5 linked regions of the Oryzias latipes genome follow. Each later gene encodes a partner of the first gene's protein in a complex. Links are inferred from orthologs where the notes say so. Each region holds a gene or a part of one and is shown in the gene's direction. Other genes may lie near its edges.

What was found.
Region 2: ncapd2 (region 1) and ncaph share a complex: the UniProt entries of both Homo sapiens proteins name them as parts of the condensin complex. The link is inferred for Oryzias latipes from reciprocal best matches to the Homo sapiens genes NCAPD2 and NCAPH.
Region 3: ncapd2 (region 1) and smc2 share a complex: the UniProt entries of both Homo sapiens proteins name them as parts of the condensin complex. The link is inferred for Oryzias latipes from reciprocal best matches to the Homo sapiens genes NCAPD2 and SMC2.
Region 4: ncapd2 (region 1) and smc4 share a complex: the UniProt entries of both Homo sapiens proteins name them as parts of the condensin complex. The link is inferred for Oryzias latipes from reciprocal best matches to the Homo sapiens genes NCAPD2 and SMC4.
Region 5: ncapd2 (region 1) and ncapg share a complex: the UniProt entries of both Homo sapiens proteins name them as parts of the condensin complex. The link is inferred for Oryzias latipes from reciprocal best matches to the Homo sapiens genes NCAPD2 and NCAPG.

Annotation. Positions count from the first base shown.
Region 1 is NC_019874.2:20,234,136-20,237,770, forward strand, and holds part of ncapd2 (condensin complex subunit 1), read left to right. Parts: intron 1-571; coding exon 572-708; intron 709-1,520; coding exon 1,521-1,653; intron 1,654-2,016; coding exon 2,017-2,092; intron 2,093-2,168; coding exon 2,169-2,375; intron 2,376-2,459; coding exon 2,460-2,620; intron 2,621-3,104; coding exon 3,105-3,219; intron 3,220-3,342; coding exon 3,343-3,466; intron 3,467-3,551; coding exon 3,552-3,635. UniProt on the Homo sapiens protein: Regulatory subunit of the condensin complex, a complex required for conversion of interphase chromatin into mitotic-like condense chromosomes.
Region 2 is NC_019867.2:25,810,969-25,814,594, reverse strand, and holds the end of ncaph (condensin complex subunit 2), read left to right. Parts: intron 1-214; coding exon 215-361; intron 362-1,062; coding exon 1,063-1,167; intron 1,168-1,305; coding exon 1,306-1,382; intron 1,383-1,634; coding exon 1,635-1,710; intron 1,711-2,771; coding exon 2,772-2,831; 3' UTR 2,832-3,091; downstream 3,092-3,626. UniProt on the Homo sapiens protein: Regulatory subunit of the condensin complex, a complex required for conversion of interphase chromatin into mitotic-like condense chromosomes.
Region 3 is NC_019859.2:11,209,109-11,212,394, forward strand, and holds part of smc2 (structural maintenance of chromosomes protein 2), read left to right. Parts: intron 1-271; coding exon 272-410; intron 411-501; coding exon 502-621; intron 622-740; coding exon 741-945; intron 946-1,024; coding exon 1,025-1,160; intron 1,161-2,033; coding exon 2,034-2,158; intron 2,159-2,252; coding exon 2,253-2,446; intron 2,447-2,574; coding exon 2,575-2,718; intron 2,719-3,286. UniProt on the Homo sapiens protein: Central component of the condensin complex, a complex required for conversion of interphase chromatin into mitotic-like condense chromosomes.
Region 4 is NC_019871.2:13,494,347-13,497,981, forward strand, and holds part of smc4 (structural maintenance of chromosomes protein 4), read left to right. Parts: intron 1-954; coding exon 955-1,146; intron 1,147-2,100; coding exon 2,101-2,277; intron 2,278-2,784; exon of another isoform or gene 2,785-2,887; intron 2,888-3,635. UniProt on the Homo sapiens protein: Central component of the condensin complex, a complex required for conversion of interphase chromatin into mitotic-like condense chromosomes.
Region 5 is NC_019859.2:13,397,530-13,401,164, reverse strand, and holds part of ncapg (condensin complex subunit 3), read left to right. Parts: intron 1-57; coding exon 58-250; intron 251-337; coding exon 338-487; intron 488-1,394; coding exon 1,395-1,535; intron 1,536-1,860; coding exon 1,861-1,984; intron 1,985-2,054; coding exon 2,055-2,144; intron 2,145-2,699; coding exon 2,700-2,888; intron 2,889-2,963; coding exon 2,964-3,074; intron 3,075-3,635. UniProt on the Homo sapiens protein: Regulatory subunit of the condensin complex, a complex required for conversion of interphase chromatin into mitotic-like condense chromosomes.

The DNA of each region.
Region 1 (3,635 bases):
TAAATTGGTGTGAAACATTAATACAGCACCAATATATTTAACATTTTTAGTCTGAAGAAATGGGTAAAAACATTGTGCTGATTTTTTTTTTTTCCTTCTTTTTTCTAAATGATGAGCTGAGTCATCTACAGGCACACGATGATCCTGGTGCAATAAAGCTGCCCGCGTGCGCTGTTCCACCTCTCAGCCTGAGCCCACTACCCCTCCCCTTTCATTCTCTCACACGCGTGCAGCGTGTGACAGGAGCAGCTGCAGGGACGGCAGTTCACAGTTCCAGGCTGTTACAAACTCTGCCATATATCAGATGATAGGAAACCATGAGTGGCGCAAATTTTTTCCCAAGCACTCAGCTGCTGTCACCACCGCGCCCCCACCCCCGTTAAATTTGCAGGCAATTGCCCATATTACTTGTGGCTAAAACCGCTACTACGCCCCCCCCCCCCGGCATCGTATGGGCGCGCCCCACTAATTGAGAAGCGCTGCTTTAAAGAATGATGCTAAAACTAAGAGGTTTTAGTATTATTTTGGTTTGAATAGGCTGTGTTGGTTAACATGCAATCATGTGTTGTAGGTGCAGGAGTTTTTTGCCAGTGGCAGTAACCTCCAGTCCACCGTGGTTCAGGTCTTGTGGGAGAGATTTACCGGTAAACGAGAAACTTCTGCCTTACACAAGCGAGCTGCTGTGTTGCTGCTGGGCATGGCAGCACGGTAAGACACTAAAAACTCTTTATTATTTACAATAGTCTTTAAACAGATTCAAATAAGTCATTTGAATATATAGATCACATTTTTCTTTGCCTTTCGGCTGTCCCCTGGACCCTCATTTGTGAAAGTCCTTCACCTTCTTCACCTGTTCCGTCTTGCAGCAGCTGACCTTCATTTTATCCAAACACAGATTTGTTCTATTTCATTTTAATGTTATCTTTGACATCAACTAGCACAGTAGGGCACAAAAAGATGTCATCTGCATTGAATGTAATTTCAGCCAGCTCAAGCAGCACTTCCTTTTTACATTTTCATCATCTTCAGCTGCTTGATATTTAGCAAATGGTTCTTAGTCTGAAAACAAGTTCCCCGCCTGTGCTTCTCTTTGTAACTGTAGTCACGACCATATAACTAAGCTCCTTTTCTTTACGTGTGTGTGTGTGTGTATTTATGCATGCTGGCTCTTTCTCTCACTATCTCTCAAAGACTATTGCTTTAGGGAAGAGGGAGTGAATAGGCAAGTGAGAGAGTAAAGAGTGTCTCTGCAGTCCTCCCACACTGCTGCTTCCCATCCAGCACCAGCAGCATTCGTAACCTATTAAACCTTCTGTGCTTTACTCACCCATCTTCCCACATGCATTATCTGGGCAGCCTCCTAGTACTGATTAGACCAGCACAGAGCATCCAGGGTCATTTAGGTTACTGTTGCTGTTGCCTCACTTTGCATTACGGCATAATCAATTGAGATTATACAATATTTATACTTCAGTTTGATTTAAAAAAAACAAACATTGTTTTATTTGTTTTTTTAACAGGGCAGAAAGAGAAGTGGTGCTCAGTAACCTGGATACTCTCTGTTCAGTGGCTGTGGGAGAAAAAGCTACACAAGACTTTCTGCTAGCTAGAGACACAGTTATCACCATCTGCAGCATCACTGACCACGTCAGGGTAAGAAACAAAAGTTCCCTCGAAACATCTGACCTGACGATTTCTGCCCAGGTGAAAGAAACTCTGTCCATGAATATTTTCCTCCTCAAGGCGCCTAAATGTTTTCCGTTTCTAGTTTTGGGAGGATTCCACAATGGTTCACAAGAGATTAATTTAACATTGCACTAATACTTAGTGTCCTATCAAAAATCTGCATCTTTAACTGTATATGTTTTAAGTTTCATAGCATTCAAAACATGTACATTTTGTTGAACAAAACAAATCAATTCATTGAAACTTTTTGAATGCCTTTTGTTTGGTTGACCATGTCAACAGCGATCAAAGCAGTCAAAAGGTCAGAAAAAACCATTTTCTCCTCATTAGCAGTCAAAGGGAGCTCCGTTCAGACTGCCTCAGGACCACCAGTTGTTCACCTGCCTGACACAGGCCATTGCAGAAGGTAAACCAGAAAAAGAAACGCTTTAAGAAAATCTCATTATTCATTGTCTTCATTTTTTCCTGTCTTTTTCCCTCAGGTGTGGTAATGGAAGACCCTTTCTGGCAGAGCTTCATGGAGCAGGCTGTCCGTCTCATCTTCTTCCTAGCTGAATCCCCAGAACAGCTGTGCTCTCGGCTCCTCCAGCGAAGCGCCCGGCTCTTATTGGATCAGATTTCTGAAGGTGGGGAAGTCTGCAAGGATGTCGACCAAATGCCAAATGGTTCTCAGGAAACCAATGAGCAAGGTAGACCCTTTTTTTCTTTTAAAGAAGACATTTTCATGGTCTAGAGTTGACACTGTAAATGTAACTTGTTTCCAATTCCTTTAGTGAACTGCGTGTGTCTGGCTCAGCTGCTGGCCCTGTGTGGATGCGTGGCTTTCTGGCAGGTGTCTCACCTGGAGCGCAGTGTGAGTGCGGAGCTCCGGAGGAGGAGAGGAGAGACGGAGGAGAGGGAGGAGAAGGAGAAAGGGCCATCCAGCAAAGCTAAGGTGTTTTTCAACTTTTGCACTTTGGAAATGTTCTCATGTCTTTGATAGAATTAAAGCTGGCTCACCTGTTAAGTTTCTCCTTTGTAATAAAAAAAAAATCAAACTACCAGTATTTGTTTTTCTACAACTTTTGTTCTGACACTGTTCTGCAGCTTTGTTTCTTTACCGTCTTCTATTAACAGAACTTTAGGGAGCCTAATTTAATCTAGGTAATAGCCTCCAACTGTCTAGGTAACAGCTAAGGATGCAAATGACTGCTAAAACACATCTTTCTACCTTCTTGAAATACATACTTTTAAACAAATATTCTTCCTTTTTCATGCATTTAAGTTACACAATATGTCCCTTTATGCAGCTTTTACTCACTCAAATAATTAGAAGTTCTCTAGTTTGTTTCATCTCAAACGTCAAATCAAAACATTGCTATGATGGATGCTGTCTTGCTTGAAGGTCTTTCATTGTTTTCATTTGACATCATTTATAGCAGCAGGCAGCCAATGAAAGTGCAATGGAGGAAGAGCTTGGCCTGATTGGAGCCTCTGCTGAAGATACAGAAGCTGAACTCATCAGAAGAATCTGTGAAACAGAATTACTTTCAGGTAAAGAAAATCGATTTTTAATTTTCCAGTACATATCCAAGTATTTCATAATAGTTGAAATCCTTCATACAATAAACAGAAACCAACATTTGTTTTTCTTTTTTCCCTTTTCAATCGGTTCAGAGGAGAACCTGCTAAGTGCTTTTCTACCTTTGCTGGTGAAAGTGTGTAGCTCTCCAGGGCGCTATTCTCACCCTCAGCTCACCACTGCTGCGTGTCTGGCGCTGTCTCAGTACATGATGATAAAGTAAACACAGTGCTCTCTCAGCTTTAAACTCATGTAATGTACATATGTCTACATAGTAATCGCATGTCTTTCTGCCTTAAATCAGCCCATCGGTGTGTGAAGAAAACATTCGTCTGATGTTTACGGTCCTGGAGCGCTCCACTCTCCCCGTTGTCAGGGCCAATGCCAT
Region 2 (3,626 bases), on another chromosome or scaffold:
TCATCACCTCAAACTGCTGGGGTTACGAAACTGCTGCCACATCACCAAGAGTGGGAGAGCTGACCAGACATGACTTTGTTCCGTTCAGTTACTGCGTGCCAACCTTACTCACTAAAGCCATTTATGGGGAACATTTTTGATAAAACAGTAAAGCAAACAAAGCTTTTATCTTTGCGTTTCCTTCTGTCATCTCCTGGTCTGTCCTCTGCTTCAGGGGGGTGACAGTGATGACGACGATGTTGAGGGGTTTACTGGTTCCGATGACATCCAGCCGTCAGGTGGTAGTGAAGCTCCACCCTCACAAGACCTGGAGGGTGTGTCCACCTACGGGGAGGATGAACTGGTACCTGAGCCTCACAGAGTGAGTCATGCAGGGTTTTTTTTTCTTTTTCAAGAACACATAATGGATTTAGTTTGTTTTGTTTGTTTGACACGTATTCATTTACCTGGCAGTAAACCTGAAGCCTGTGAATCTCGATCATGAAAGGGCCTGCATCATGTAAAATCAACCTTTTGAGCTTTTAAGTGTATTATCATGTTAATTCCTCACTATAAACAACCCCAAAGCGGTATTCGGATCCATTCACGCATTTCTGAGCACCAGCCCCTCCCAACCCGTGAAAATAAGCGGGTTCATTGTGGCGTAGATAAGTGAGGAACAGCCCCTTCCAGGAAAAGTCTACCCTGCCAGCGCCACCCCCAGGCTAACACGCACACCCACTTTCTCCACAAACCGAGCGGTGATCATCAAAAGCGCTTTCCTTTTATAAGCACATGTATCTTTGCAATAGTTCAAATGTTGTTTGTTTTTATTGGCGAGATGCAGCCGAGGCCGACTCTAGGTTGATGTCATGAAGTGAGCGGCACCCAAGCGAAAAAGAACTGATGAAAATAACAAATATTTAATACAAAATTTGTTCTGTAGTGTGCCAAAATGTAATTTATTATTACATATATGGATATAGTTCACTCAGAAATGCTTAAAAAGCATGATTGAGGCCTTTTCCAAAAAGGCTGAACTTTGTATGGAATTGATTTTTACTCTACTGCTTGTGTTTGCAGGTCAACAAAATTGAAATCAATTATGCCAAGACAGCAAAGAAAATGGATATGAAGAAGCTTAAGAACAGCATGTGGACTCTTTTAACAGATAGTCCAGAAGAAAAGGTACAGGTGCTTTTACTTTGTTTCTTTCTTTTTTGTCTGTATTGTATCATGTTGATGAATGTTTAGGTGTCTGGCGTTGGTGCTTGAGGACGGTCTAGAGAGGGCAGCTGTGTTCATCTGGTTTTTGTCTTTCTGCAGGTGAAGGAGACTGTTGAGACTCAGGATGTGTGTGGGGAGAAAGCCTTCAGTCAGACCACAAAGATGCTGCTTCAAAGGTACCAACACAACTCTGGCACTTATAGCAACAATCATCAAAAGCTTTAGAAAGCCTCACATTCTACTAACATTGCTGGTTTGGAATCCATGCGTGGGTTTTACCAAAAAGTTTTGGCTCCTCCAACACTTTTTTTTTTCGTATTCTTGTGAGACATTATCTTCCTTTATAGACTGATGCTGACAGAACCTTGAAGAGTTTGATTTGAAATGTGCTCCTCCTCCTTCTCCCCCCTCCTTCTTGTACCCCTTAGGTTGCCGAACGTTATGGCTCAGAACCTGTCGGTGCCGCTGGCCTTTGTGGCTCTGCTTCATCTGGCAAATGAAAAGGTGCAACTATTTATTAGAAAATAAAAGAAAACATTGCAACCCTCTTGGCATTACAATAACTCCTAATCATAAATAGACAAACTTGCATTTTTATGTACAGTACAATCAATTCAATATAATGATTGTCAGATAGAGTTTGATGAATAGCTTGAAATGAAGTGGGAAGAAGCAAATTTACATAATCCCACCAAAAATAAACAAATATTAAGCATATGATGGAGCTAAAAGAAGTGTTTCACACTTTTCTGTGTTGTTTTTTTACTTAAAAGGGGAACATAATTTCTAGTTGCTTAGCATGTGATCTAGTTTTTTCCGTCTTTTGACAGTGTGTGAAAGTTTGAAATGGCTAATTGACACGCACATCTGTAACGTATATCTATTACATATACTGATGTCATCATGTAATCAGTTCCTAGATTAATGGGAAAAAAAGTGTTTATCATTTACCAATGAACAGCAGGACTGACGACCCGACTCTATTTTTGGTTGTCAAAAAAACCAAAATAATATTGGTTCATGAGTTAATTCATTTAAAATCAAATGGAAGTAAATGAGTTGTACTGTATTTGAGGTTCTGAAAATATCTTATCAGTTTGGTTTCTTTTTATTTAACCTTTATTTTACCAGGAAGTCCCTTGAGATAAAACATTTTTAGAGAGAGACGTGACCCAGAGGCATTGATACACACACAAACATAAAACCATGAAAATAAAAGAACATTTGAAACAGCTCAAGATAAACATGTGCACTCTTCGGTCACTCACTCAGTGTTATCAGTTTGTGGGATCACTTTGCTTATAAAGATAGTGACAGACGTGTCATTACTCCTACTCGACTTTAAAATGTTTCAACTTAAGAGCCTTTTAAATGAATCCTGTTTGTCTTTAAAATGACTTTAATTTAACATTATATTTGACATTAATTTATTATCAAGAGCAACTTTCAGCTTTAGGAATTCTACTTTTATAAAAGGTTATAACAACATAACCCAAGTTATTTTCTGTAGACAAACGTCTGAAGCTTTAACACCTTTTAACAGTTTTGAATTGTCTGTTTTACAGAATTTGGAGCTGGTCAAAGTTGATGACATGTCAGACATTATCATCAGACAAGGCCGCTAAGGAGAAAACCAGGAGATTTTTTTAAATTCTGTCCTCTTCTTTCTTTGAATTTATGCTTTTTCTATTTAAAATGTCAGGTTTTATTCACTTTGTGCTTAAGTTTTAAATCTGCCCTTTTTTCCCTCATAATGACAAGACGACCTTTTTTTTAACTCTGTACTATTTCATGATTATCTGTTGTGTAGATAAAAGAACTTTTCAACCACTGCTCAAAAGATATATATTGTCAAAAGAAATAAAATGTTTTTTTTTCCCATAAATGTGGTTGAGTTTGTGACTTAAATTTGGGCAGAACGTGTGAAATCCTGGCACATTAAACCTGTTTATAGTGTGAGTTTGCAACTTTGCTGTCGCCTTCCCGTAGAGGTTAAGCCGGTTTGTCTGGGTCTGTGCTTCCATCTGGGTGAGACGACATGACGTCCTTTCATTAAGGAGATACAGAACAAGAAAGAGCAGAGGACTAATCACATTCCAGTCCTTGGCGTAGAAGTTTTTAATCTTGCACACAGGAACTTTGATATAAACAGTGTTTTTACTTTAGGTTTCCTAATTTAATCCTAATATAATGGTAGAAATGTGCTTTTGTCCGATTATCACTAAATTGTGTAATGTGTCTCAAAATGTTTATAGTAATGCAATTAATATATAACACATAAGTAATTAGTTTTGTTTGTTTTGTTAAATATACTGTTTAAAAGTGGTTTTCCCATCATACCTCTCTTCAGACTTTCTGTTTAAAAACACAAAAGATTACTTCAAAGGATTCAAGGAGTATTTATTGCCAGTGAGCAGGGC
Region 3 (3,286 bases), on another chromosome or scaffold:
TTACAAGATTTTACAGCTTAAACATAAACAGGAACTATTTTGATTTGAAGTTTTAAGTGTGGACAAATGATTGATTCTGCTGTTTCTTTCATCTCTATGAACTATCTAATCTAAAGATTTGATTAAGAAATAGAACTTTAATTTCTTATCTTGTCCACCATGAATTGAGTTTTTTTTCTTCCTCTTGACGATGTTTTATTTGAGTCATTTTTCTTTTCTTCAGTTTGCATTTTTCTTCTTTTCTGTTGTAATAAATTCTGCTGTCTCCCAGAGATCCGGAGAGAGGCTGGGACCGAAGCAAAGTGAAGGGCCTTCTAGCTAATCTCATAAGTGTCAGTGATGTTTCCTATGCCACGGCACTGGAGGTAGTTGCAGGTGGACGGCTCTACAACATTGTTGTAGACACAGAGGTAGACCTTTTGAAAGTTTTTTTTTTAAATTTATTTCACAGGTGAATAAACAGAATCTTTGTGACTAAATGATTGAATCCTTCCTTCTTAGGTGACTGGTAAGAAGCTGCTGGAGAAAGGAGAGCTACAGCGCAGGTACACCATCATTCCTCTCAACAAGATATCTGCCAAAACTCTCAACGACAAAGTGATCCACACCGCGAAGCGCCTGGTGAGAAAACTCTGTGCTTTCATAGTCTCCGACTTTTTCTTGTGTATAAAAGGAATCACATCTCATTCATTAGGTTTTCTCGTAGGTAATTTTCCGTGATTTTGTCTTTGTTCTGTGAGGTCGGGGAGGACAACGTTCACACAGCTCTGTCCCTGGTGGGATACGAGTCTGACCTTCGTAAAGCCATGGAGTATGTGTTCGGCTCCACGCTGGTCTGTGACACTTTGGACAACGCAAAGAAAGTGGCGTTTGACAAACAGGTGATGACCAAGACTGTTACGCTTGGGGGAGACATCTTTGACCCGCAGGGAACTTTGAGTGGAGGTGAGATCAACGCTCGACTCCTGTTTCCTTGGAAAATCAAATCAGTTTCAATACTTGGCTCCTCTTTTTTTCTTTCCAGGCGCTCGCTCGCAGTCGGCATCGATTTTGTCGAGCCTGCAGGAAGTAAAAGATGTTCAGGACAGCCTGAGCGATAAGGAGGCCAAACTTCAGGATACTGAGCGACAGATGTCCAGTCTGAAGGGAACCGCTGAGAAGTATGCAAATGAAAAAGCAGAAAAGTTCCTCTACACATTAAAAAAACTCCTATATATTTACTAAAACTAGCGGTACTTTCTGTTGTGAAACCCCTTCTTTTAAGTGGGATGCAGTGATTCACTTTCCCCTCGATTCAGTTCAAACCTCAATTTTTGGGTCACGGTTCGAAATATGACTTTTGTACTACAAAGAGACAAACAACATTTTTGAAAAAATCATTTTAAATTTGCTAATAAGCAAAAAAAAAATATATATATATATATCAGTTGGCTAATACTAAGCCTGGAGTAATGTAATAAGACAATAAATAGTAAATCCTTCTTAAATTTAGCACAACTGTTTGACACTTTCAATGTAAACACGCAGTAGCGATGGAACAAATCCCCTTCCCCACAATGCGGTTTAAATGTGGAGCAAACAGTTTGGTTTGAAACCGAGAATGGTGGCATCCCTATTATGCACCATGGAAAATTAGATCCTCTTAATCAATAAAACATTCAATTCAGCTTGATTATATATTTTTTAATTCATTGTGTTTCTTTAAAACAAGCTACTGGTGACAAGTGTTAAAAAAAATCTATTAAGTCTATTTTACATTTCTTGTTTGGCCTGCAGTTAAAAATCAGAAGTTATAGAGATGTTTTGTTTGATCTTGTAGTGAAGGATATTTTTATGAGACAAAAGTCAAATCAAAGAAGATAACCGTGTTTTTTTAATTTATTTTTTAAGTTGTCTGAGGAAGCCTGCTTTTAAAAAACGTATAAGGCCCAGCTGTTTAGGGCCAGTTTACAACTCTGTCGTAGTTTAGAAAGGATTTCTTTGGTTAATTTATTCCAAATGACGTTTTTCATTTCACTTTTCCCTTTCTGCAGGTATCGGCAGCTGAAGCAGCAGCACGAGCTGAAGGTGGAGGAGGAGCAGATCCTGCAGACCAAGCTGCAGCAGAGCTCCTTCCATCAGCAGCAGGAGGAGCTGGAGAGGCTGCAGAAAGCCATCGGTCTGGACTTTAACTTCAGTTTAATAGAGGGAGGGAAAGCGGGAGGTTTCATCTGCAGTTATTTTAAGACCTTTTGTGACGTTTGCTTCCCCAGACGAGAGTGAGGCCACTTTGCGCCTCACCAAGGAGCTGCAGAAGCGAGCCGAGGAGAAGTACAAGGTGCTGGAAAACAAAATGAAGAATGCCGAGGCTGAGAGGGAGAAGGAGTTGAAGGCTGCCCAGGAGAAACTCAACAAAGCAAAAGCAAAAGCAGACGCCTTCAACAAGACTTTAAAGCAGAAGCAGCAGGTAAACTGTTTGTTTTAATGAAAATATGCAGAAATGAGTGGTTCCCAGAATTATTTTAAGATAGCTAAACCTTTGTAATATTTGATTTAATATTTCTAATCATTGGGTTTGTTTATTCTCGTCTCCAGGAGTCTGAAGCTGTGGCCTTGGAGCTGGAGGAGCTCCGGAGGGAGCAGGCCACCTACGAGCAGCAGATTCAGGCCGTCGACGAGGCCATGAAGGCCTTTCAGGAACAAATAGACAGCATGGCCTGCACCGTGACCCAGAACAAGGTAGGAGTGTCGGCTGGGAAGGCAACAGTCTCCTAAAAGCTTTCCCGGCAGAGATTTGCAATAGCAGCACTAAATCCTCATGATTTTTAAGAAAGGAGAGGATGTTTGTTGAGAAAGTCGAGCTAAACCAAATCAGCTTGAATAGATCCAGAAAGCGATGATTTCTGTGGAGATACAAAACATACCAAAAAAACTTTTACTTCAAAAAATTCAGTTCAAAGATTCAAAATCACAAATTCAAACCTTAGAAAATAATTATGCAACTTTAAAAATGGCCTTTTTCAGAGGAAAGAAAATAGAATCATCACATAAATTAGGAGGCATAAATAGTAAACAGACAAAACAGCAGTGTTCTACAGTCTTTCGGCATGTTTTAAAAGAGGTTTTGGAGCGGAGAGAAACCTTTCAGATGCTCTAAGACTTTGAATTTGAGCCAAAAACAAAAAATCGTCATCTACATAGATTGTTTGTTTGAGCCAATGACATTGTGATGATTTTGGTCATGTTTGCTACATGTAGAGTTACATTAATCTTTTCCATCTGTGAAGTCTGACGTTTTATCGATTTA
Region 4 (3,635 bases), on another chromosome or scaffold:
ATCTCAAGGCTCACCGGCGCCCCCTAACGTGAGGCACGGGAACTTCTGGCCTCACCCAGCGGCTTTTTCGCCGGCGTTTAGCGCTCAGCACAAGAAACACGTCCCTCACATACAGTTATTTATAAAAACAAACACTGTACATCATATACATCTGCTAAATTATGCAAACTCAGCTCATACAGTACAAGTGATTGAACCGACATACAGAGAGACAGCAGTACCGTCTGACTGCATAGGTATTGCGCAATCCAAGGTGAGGCTCAGCGGGCTGGTGCCTCATCGCACGTCACTTCTTAGTATCTGAACGGCAAATGCGGAAATTCAGCGATTTTGAAAAGAAAAAACACCCAAAATTGGTACATTTAAATGGAAAATGACTGCAAAGCACAAATTACTGATTAAATATAATAGTTGAATTTATTTTTTCTCTTTTCTTCCCATGACAGGTGAGGCACAGCCTCACCTGCCTCTCCTGACTGCACGTCACTGATTTAGTGTAACTGTTACTATCCAAGTCTTATTCATTTGATACTATTTTTTTTCTTGTCTGAAATCTTAGGTCACCTTTCTAATAAATGTGTCTTATTGAAATCTATAAAAAAATAAGATTATTAGTAAAAATGTTTAGAGAGAAAAATCCTTAAAAAAAGAGGAAGAAGTCACACTCCTCCATTTTGATTTAGTGTTTCTCTCAGTTTCTGAAAATCTACTGGTGTAATCACATTTAATGAAACTTTTTAAATGTTTTTTTCTTTAAAAAAAATCTTTTTCAGTCGCCTCATGTCCATGCAAGTTTCATATTGCTAAATTTAAGTGTTTAAATCTATATTAGACTTGTGTGTGGTGTCATCGCTGTTACTGACAGCTGTTGTTGAATCTTAATCTCTTGTATGTTTCATATGGATGATGCATTCATTTTTATTTATTTATTTTTGTCTCCTAATTTCTTCCCAGCGCTTTTCCTGCATCATTGGTCCAAATGGAAGCGGCAAGTCTAATGTGATAGACTCCATGCTCTTTGTGTTTGGATACAGAGCTCAAAAGATAAGATCAAAAAAGCTTTCAGTGTTGATTCACAGCTCTGATAAACACAAAGATGTGCAAAGCTGTACTGTGGAGGTGCATTTTCAAAAGATCATTGATAAGGTATACAGATATTTATAAACACTTTTTTTTTTTACACACAAATACAAACTTCACTAAAATGATCAGTTTGTTGTTCAAACAAACAAAAAAAAAATCACCAGAAATATTTTAGTTGGGCAAAAATGAATTTTTAAAATGTATTTGTTCTTTGTCGTTTCTAATGCAGTAATATTGCTGCTCAATTCTTCTTCTAGTGACCAAGTGTAAACTTAAATCAGTTGTGAAAGTTACTGGAACTCCCACACGTGCCACATTTGAGTCATTTTGCCCTAAAATTGATCTGATGGCAATGAAGGGAAAGAGATAAACAAATGCATTTATTGCCTCTGCTTTTTTTCATGGTGGCAAAAAAAAAAAAAAAGCAGTAGTGTTTGCTTTAGGTAGGATGTAATAACAGGCTGCTGTAACCACCAACTGTGAGCTACATTTTCCCCCCAATTAGAAAATTTTTTATAAATTAAATTAGCCATAGGGACTGTGAATTTGATCACACTGCTGAAGCTAAAATGTTGTGTATTTTTTAATAAACATTGATTTGTCTTAAAATTGGCACAAACTGAGAAATCTGTCAGTTTTGTATTTACAATCATTCCTTAAAACTACAGGGTTTTTTCTTTCAGCGATGTGCACACGGCCTTAAATAAATAGCCTTTTTTCTTCTTTCAACTAAACATTTTTACCCAATCCGTTTATCTTTTGTAGTTACAAGTTTAGGAAGCTTACGATGCAATACACTCCAATACACATTTAGTGTTTTATCTTATCCTTTGCCTTTATAGATGTAGTGCATTCTCATAAACAATATTTTATGTGTGTGTTTTTCTATGTAGGCCTTGTTAATAAGTGAATCTGTCAGTGTTGGAACAGTTTGACGTGTTGGGCTGTTTCAGCCTCTCCTGAACTGTTCTGTTCTAAGCTGCTGTGTCTTCTGCCCCTCCCCCCCCCCCGAGCCAGGAAGGAGATGACTACGAAGTCATCCCCAACAGCAAATTCTACGTTTCCAGGACTGCCAACAAAGACGGTTCCTCAGCCTACCATATCAATGGCAAGAAAGCCACATTTAAAGAAGTGGGGGCATTACTACGAAGTCACGGTATTGACCTCGACCACAACAGGTTTCTGATTTTACAGGTAATTATTTAGTGTTTTTCTTGTATTCTTTCCTTTTTTCCTCTTATCCTGCAAGTCCAAAAAACTTTATTTTTTTTTGAATAATCATGCCATTCTGTCATTTATCTTTTTTTATTATTATTTTTTTATTTTTTTTAGTGCAATTCTCAGGTTCTTTTTTGCTTAAATGTTTCTCATGTACCTGTAGGCCATGTCTGGAAATGTCATGGAATATGCTGTGGTGTCATAGAAAAGAACTGGGGAGGGGTTGCCCTCTGCAAGACCTTAGAATGCTGTAGCAGCGCATCATGGTTTGAAACAGTCAGAAAAAAGTGCGAACCATTATTTGCTGCTTTAGAATTTTAAGGAAAAAATGCAAAAAATTGAAATTCTCCCACATAAACCTGAATGTCAGTTGCTAAACTATTTGCTAGCTTAACAGAGTTTTTTTATATTTTTAATATTTTTTTTATTTTAATTTTTTTATTTTTGTGGATCCACTAATGGCGATGAGGTGGACCCTTCCTTTTTCAATATACCTGCTACGCTGTAGCAGCACGTAAATATTGGCGTGTGAAAAAAGCCCCCAACCCCAATATTAGCAGTGCTGCTTCAGTGTGACGGGATCAAACATCCTCTGTTGCCAGGACTTTAACTATCTGTCTTGGTTCACGTTTTGTTCTATTACTGTAATTCATGGTATACTATGGTCCTACATTATTCTTGGTTAAAAAGATTTACGGTAACCAAGTTTAAATCGTCTCACCTGTCATAATTTTCTTCTTAATATTTTAATTTTCTTTTTCATTTAATTGTATTTTTTACCTACCATAAAATAAAAAATAAAATATTGAAAAACTTTTCCAAGAAAAAAATGTAATCTCACTTTATAATCAATTATTTCACATCTTTTTTTTTTTTTTTTAATAAAAAGTGTTGTGTTTTTTCTTTTTTCCTCTAAATCTGCCCGTCTATATTCCTTCTCCTTACACAACCCTGTTTTTGGCATGGCTCCATGACTATGGGAAGAGTCTTGAGCTTGGCTTCAAGGTCACTTTTCCAGACCTTTAGCAAAAGGGGAAGCGGTGTCATTTGTGCTCCAATCAGGACAGAAGGATGTGGGGTTAGATCTCCCTTCTTCCTTGAGCTTATTTGTTTCATCAACATACAGTAATGTCTGATCTACTTTTTACCCTGCATATAAATCAACCCTGGGTTAAGCAAGTGTGTTATATGACAAAAATCAGGTCAGTGATGAGTGTTTGAATTGAACTAGATGTTTTCTCTTGTTGTTTTTGAATTGTTTGCCAGATTACTTAAAGTAGTTTCGTAAAATCTGTGTGAAATCAGAATTGTTCATTTACCATCAAACTTTGACT
Region 5 (3,635 bases), on another chromosome or scaffold:
ACTTCCAATGAATGATCTCTTTCTCACAGTACATGTGTTATTTACGTTTCCGTGCAGAGGCAGTGAGAGAGGTGGTCTGCAGCCGCCTCCTGCCAGCCTGGCTGCTCCGCCTGGACGGTGATGTCATCGAGCTGCTCCACCGACTGGATGTGGAAAACTGTGCAGATGCGGCGATGGACACGCTGAAAGCCATCTTCAAAAGCATGCCTGCAGAAGAACTGCTGCAGAACAGGGAGGGGCTTGACAACAGGTCCGCTTTTAGCTTTCCTACTATTTGAAGAGATGTCGTAAAAATGTTGGAGGGTTAAAGAATCTGTTGCTTTACTTTTTTCAACAGGAAGGTGATCCCAATTGACTCTTTGACCTGTGAAAATGTGCTTTACTGGAGAGCGCTGTGTGAGTTCATCAAGGACAAAGGAGATGATGGAGAAGAAATGCTGGAACAAGTGTTGCCAGATGCTGCTGCTTATGCTGAGTACCTTTGTGGGTAAGAGCATCAAAGGTTTTAAATTGCTTTTGAAAGTTAGTAAACGGCTTGTGCAGTCTTATTATTGATTAGGAAGAAATTTATGGAAGAATCCCATAATACTTACTCTGCAACAATTAATTTTTTAACTAAGCCGAGTTGTTAATGTATTTCTCTGTACTTATGTGAGAGCGGGTTCCGATTTCTCAGTGGAATTCAGCAATGGAGGAGGCTCAAAGAAATCCTAAGTCTTAGGACACTACTCTACTACACCACTTAAGTGCTTGTACTTTTAAATATAACTTTATTATATTACTAACCAGAACAAAAGAGCATGCAATCAGAAGTAGAAGCAAGGACACACACACACAGTTGGAAAAAAAACGCAAAACTTGAACAAAAATCTGTAAAACAGAACAGTTGGTCAATTCCAGTTTGAAGCCAAAAAAAAACAGCACATTTTTTTACAACTAACAGGTGAATGAAAGGGCTCAAACTGCTGTTTGTGAGGCCTGCTCCTTCCGGCCATTTAAAAAAAGAGAAAAAATCTGATTTTTAAAATCAAAGAGGAAAGACAATCAAGTTGGGATGATATATTCACTCATAAAAGAATAAAATATTCAGCTTTTCAGTGTAAAACAGTTTAAATAAATGTAAAGCTTGACAGGATTACAGATGTCACAACTCCAGAGTTTGGATTTTCCCTACATTCAGTGAATTGGTCAGTTTGCTGAAAACTGACAGATTGTATGTAGACAATAAAGTAGTTAACACAACTTTTCCTAAAAGCTGTATTAACGTTTCTTTTTTTTGAAAATGTTAATGTCATTTTGCGTTGATGTAAATGGGTTGTCAGCTGATTCCACGGCGTGCGTTAAACAGTGACACTGCACACTTCGTCGGCCATTAACCCTTACTTAACTCGCAGATATCTGAAGGCGGTGCCGTTGCTCACAGAGGAGCAGAGAGGCGACTTCAACCAGCTGGAGCTGGTCATGACCAAAGAATTTATCTCTCAACAACTCATCCACCTCATCCGCTGCCTCGACACGAACGAGGAAGGTGGCAGGTATGAAATCCTTTGAATCCAAGGAAAACTACTGGAAAACATTATTTGTTTGTTATTGTATGGAGAGGATTCAACAAAAGGAAAAATGTAAAAGTTTAAGCCTTATAGATTCACAATCTGATCCTAAGAGAAACAGAAACAACAACAAATACTACATGGAAATGAATTCTTAGAGATCAACCAAAGCACGTTTTTGATCTGGTTACAGTTGGTACAATCTATGTTTGAAGACTTCCTGTTGTGGATTGAAATCCAGGCCTTAAGCTTATTGTCAGATGGGATTGTGTAGATTTTTAGTGCATGTCATGGTTTTTAATATTTGCAGAAAGCGTGTGCTGGCAGTTCTGCAGGACATGATGGCTCTTCCACAGACCCCCTCCTCCCTGATTTCCCTGCTTACTGAAAAACTCCTCTCCCTCATCCCTGATGACCACAGGCGCATCCAGACTGTAGGTTCCCTTCTGCTGTGTTGCTTTACACTGAGGCTGACTTCTACTAGATGCTGTTGTCTTTTTGCAGGTGGCAGAAATCATCTCGGACTTGAGGGAACCCATCATGGAGCCCAATCGGGCTGTGGATGAGAATGAGAGCCGACGGCAGCAGGTTAAGGTGGGCAACGCTTGAATGAAAAACTCCAGCAGGATCTGGATTTTGCCATCCTTTCCCCTGCCTTTAGTGAATAAAATGTCTAAGTCTTTTCACTAGAAAAATTAAGGCTTTTAACATTTGCCAAAGAAACCTTTAAAAATGTGGATTTCCTAACTTCAAATGTTTCATGTTTTTTATCTGCTGCATTTCCTCCTCATCAGTCATTTCTTTGTTTTCTCTCCTTTAAACAATTAATTTTTGGTGTTCCATTCAAAAAAAGAGCATTTGAAAATAAAATAAAATGACAGTAAATACATTGAGAAACCGTAATATGAAAACTACCTAATAAATGTCCAAATAACAGCCAAAAAGTGATGTTTTATGTTCCTGCTGCTATTATTTTACCTTAATAAAAACAGATCAAGTTTCTGGTTTAGGAGTCACTCCCACATAAATTAAAGGTGCTACAGAGAAAGTAAAGAATGTGTGAATGTTTTAAACTGATTTCTTCCTGTTTGTTGGAAATTGTTGTAGCTGCATCCAAACGTTCTCCTTTCCTCCTCCTCCTCCATGCAGCTGGCAGAAGTAAAGGTCCAGATCTTGGAAGCTAAACAAACTCTGGAGGATTGTATCGCTGCTCAGGAGTTCAGCCGAGCGGCAGAGCTGAAGGAATCCATCACACGCCTCGAGGAGAGCAGAAACCAAATCCTTCAGGACATCGCCGAGGGCGGCCAGCCGACTGACAAGGAGCCCCGCACCGAGAAGGTCCGGTGAGATCCAGGATGCGTCATTGCTGGGTTTCATGGAACTGATGTTCTTTTTTTTATGTCCTTTTATTAGAATGACCCAGAGACTCTTCTGAGGTGTTTAACGATGTGTGCTGAGCTGATGAAGCAGATGAACATCAAGACTCGAATTGGTCCAACTATAAGTGCATTGATGTCTTCCTTGGTAAAAAGCGTTTTTTATTTTTACTTTATTATGCTGTCAAATACATCTTTATGCGTGTTTTTAGGACGAAATAATGATAATCATTTATTTTATTTGAAGCACTTGTCAGTCAAGGTCCTTAAAAAAACAAAACACACATGAACAAAGTCGAAGGATTTTGTTCTCAACCCTTTTGATCTACTGAGAAACAGTGGAGTTGGTGAAGAATTTGAGTGATGTGAAGAAAAGAGGGAGCAGTGCAAGTTTAGGGAAAAATGAAAAGAAGGGAGTTCCAGTAATGAAGACAGGAAATAAGCTGTGGATGTGGAGGGAGGGAGGGAGGGAGGGAGGGAGGGAGGGAGGGAGGGAGGGGTTATTGCAAAGGTGAAAATGTGCTGACTATCGATGGGAGCGTAAAAGGAGAATGTGTCGTTGAGAGTGACACCCAAACTCTTTGCTGGAGGGGAGGTGGAACAAGAAAGCCATTTCTATCCAGAGAGTAACTGTTGGTTTTTGAAAGAGCAGATTTAGTGCATTTAGTTGTTGCTTAGTTTTCAGAAAGAAGGAGAATGAGGATTTAAT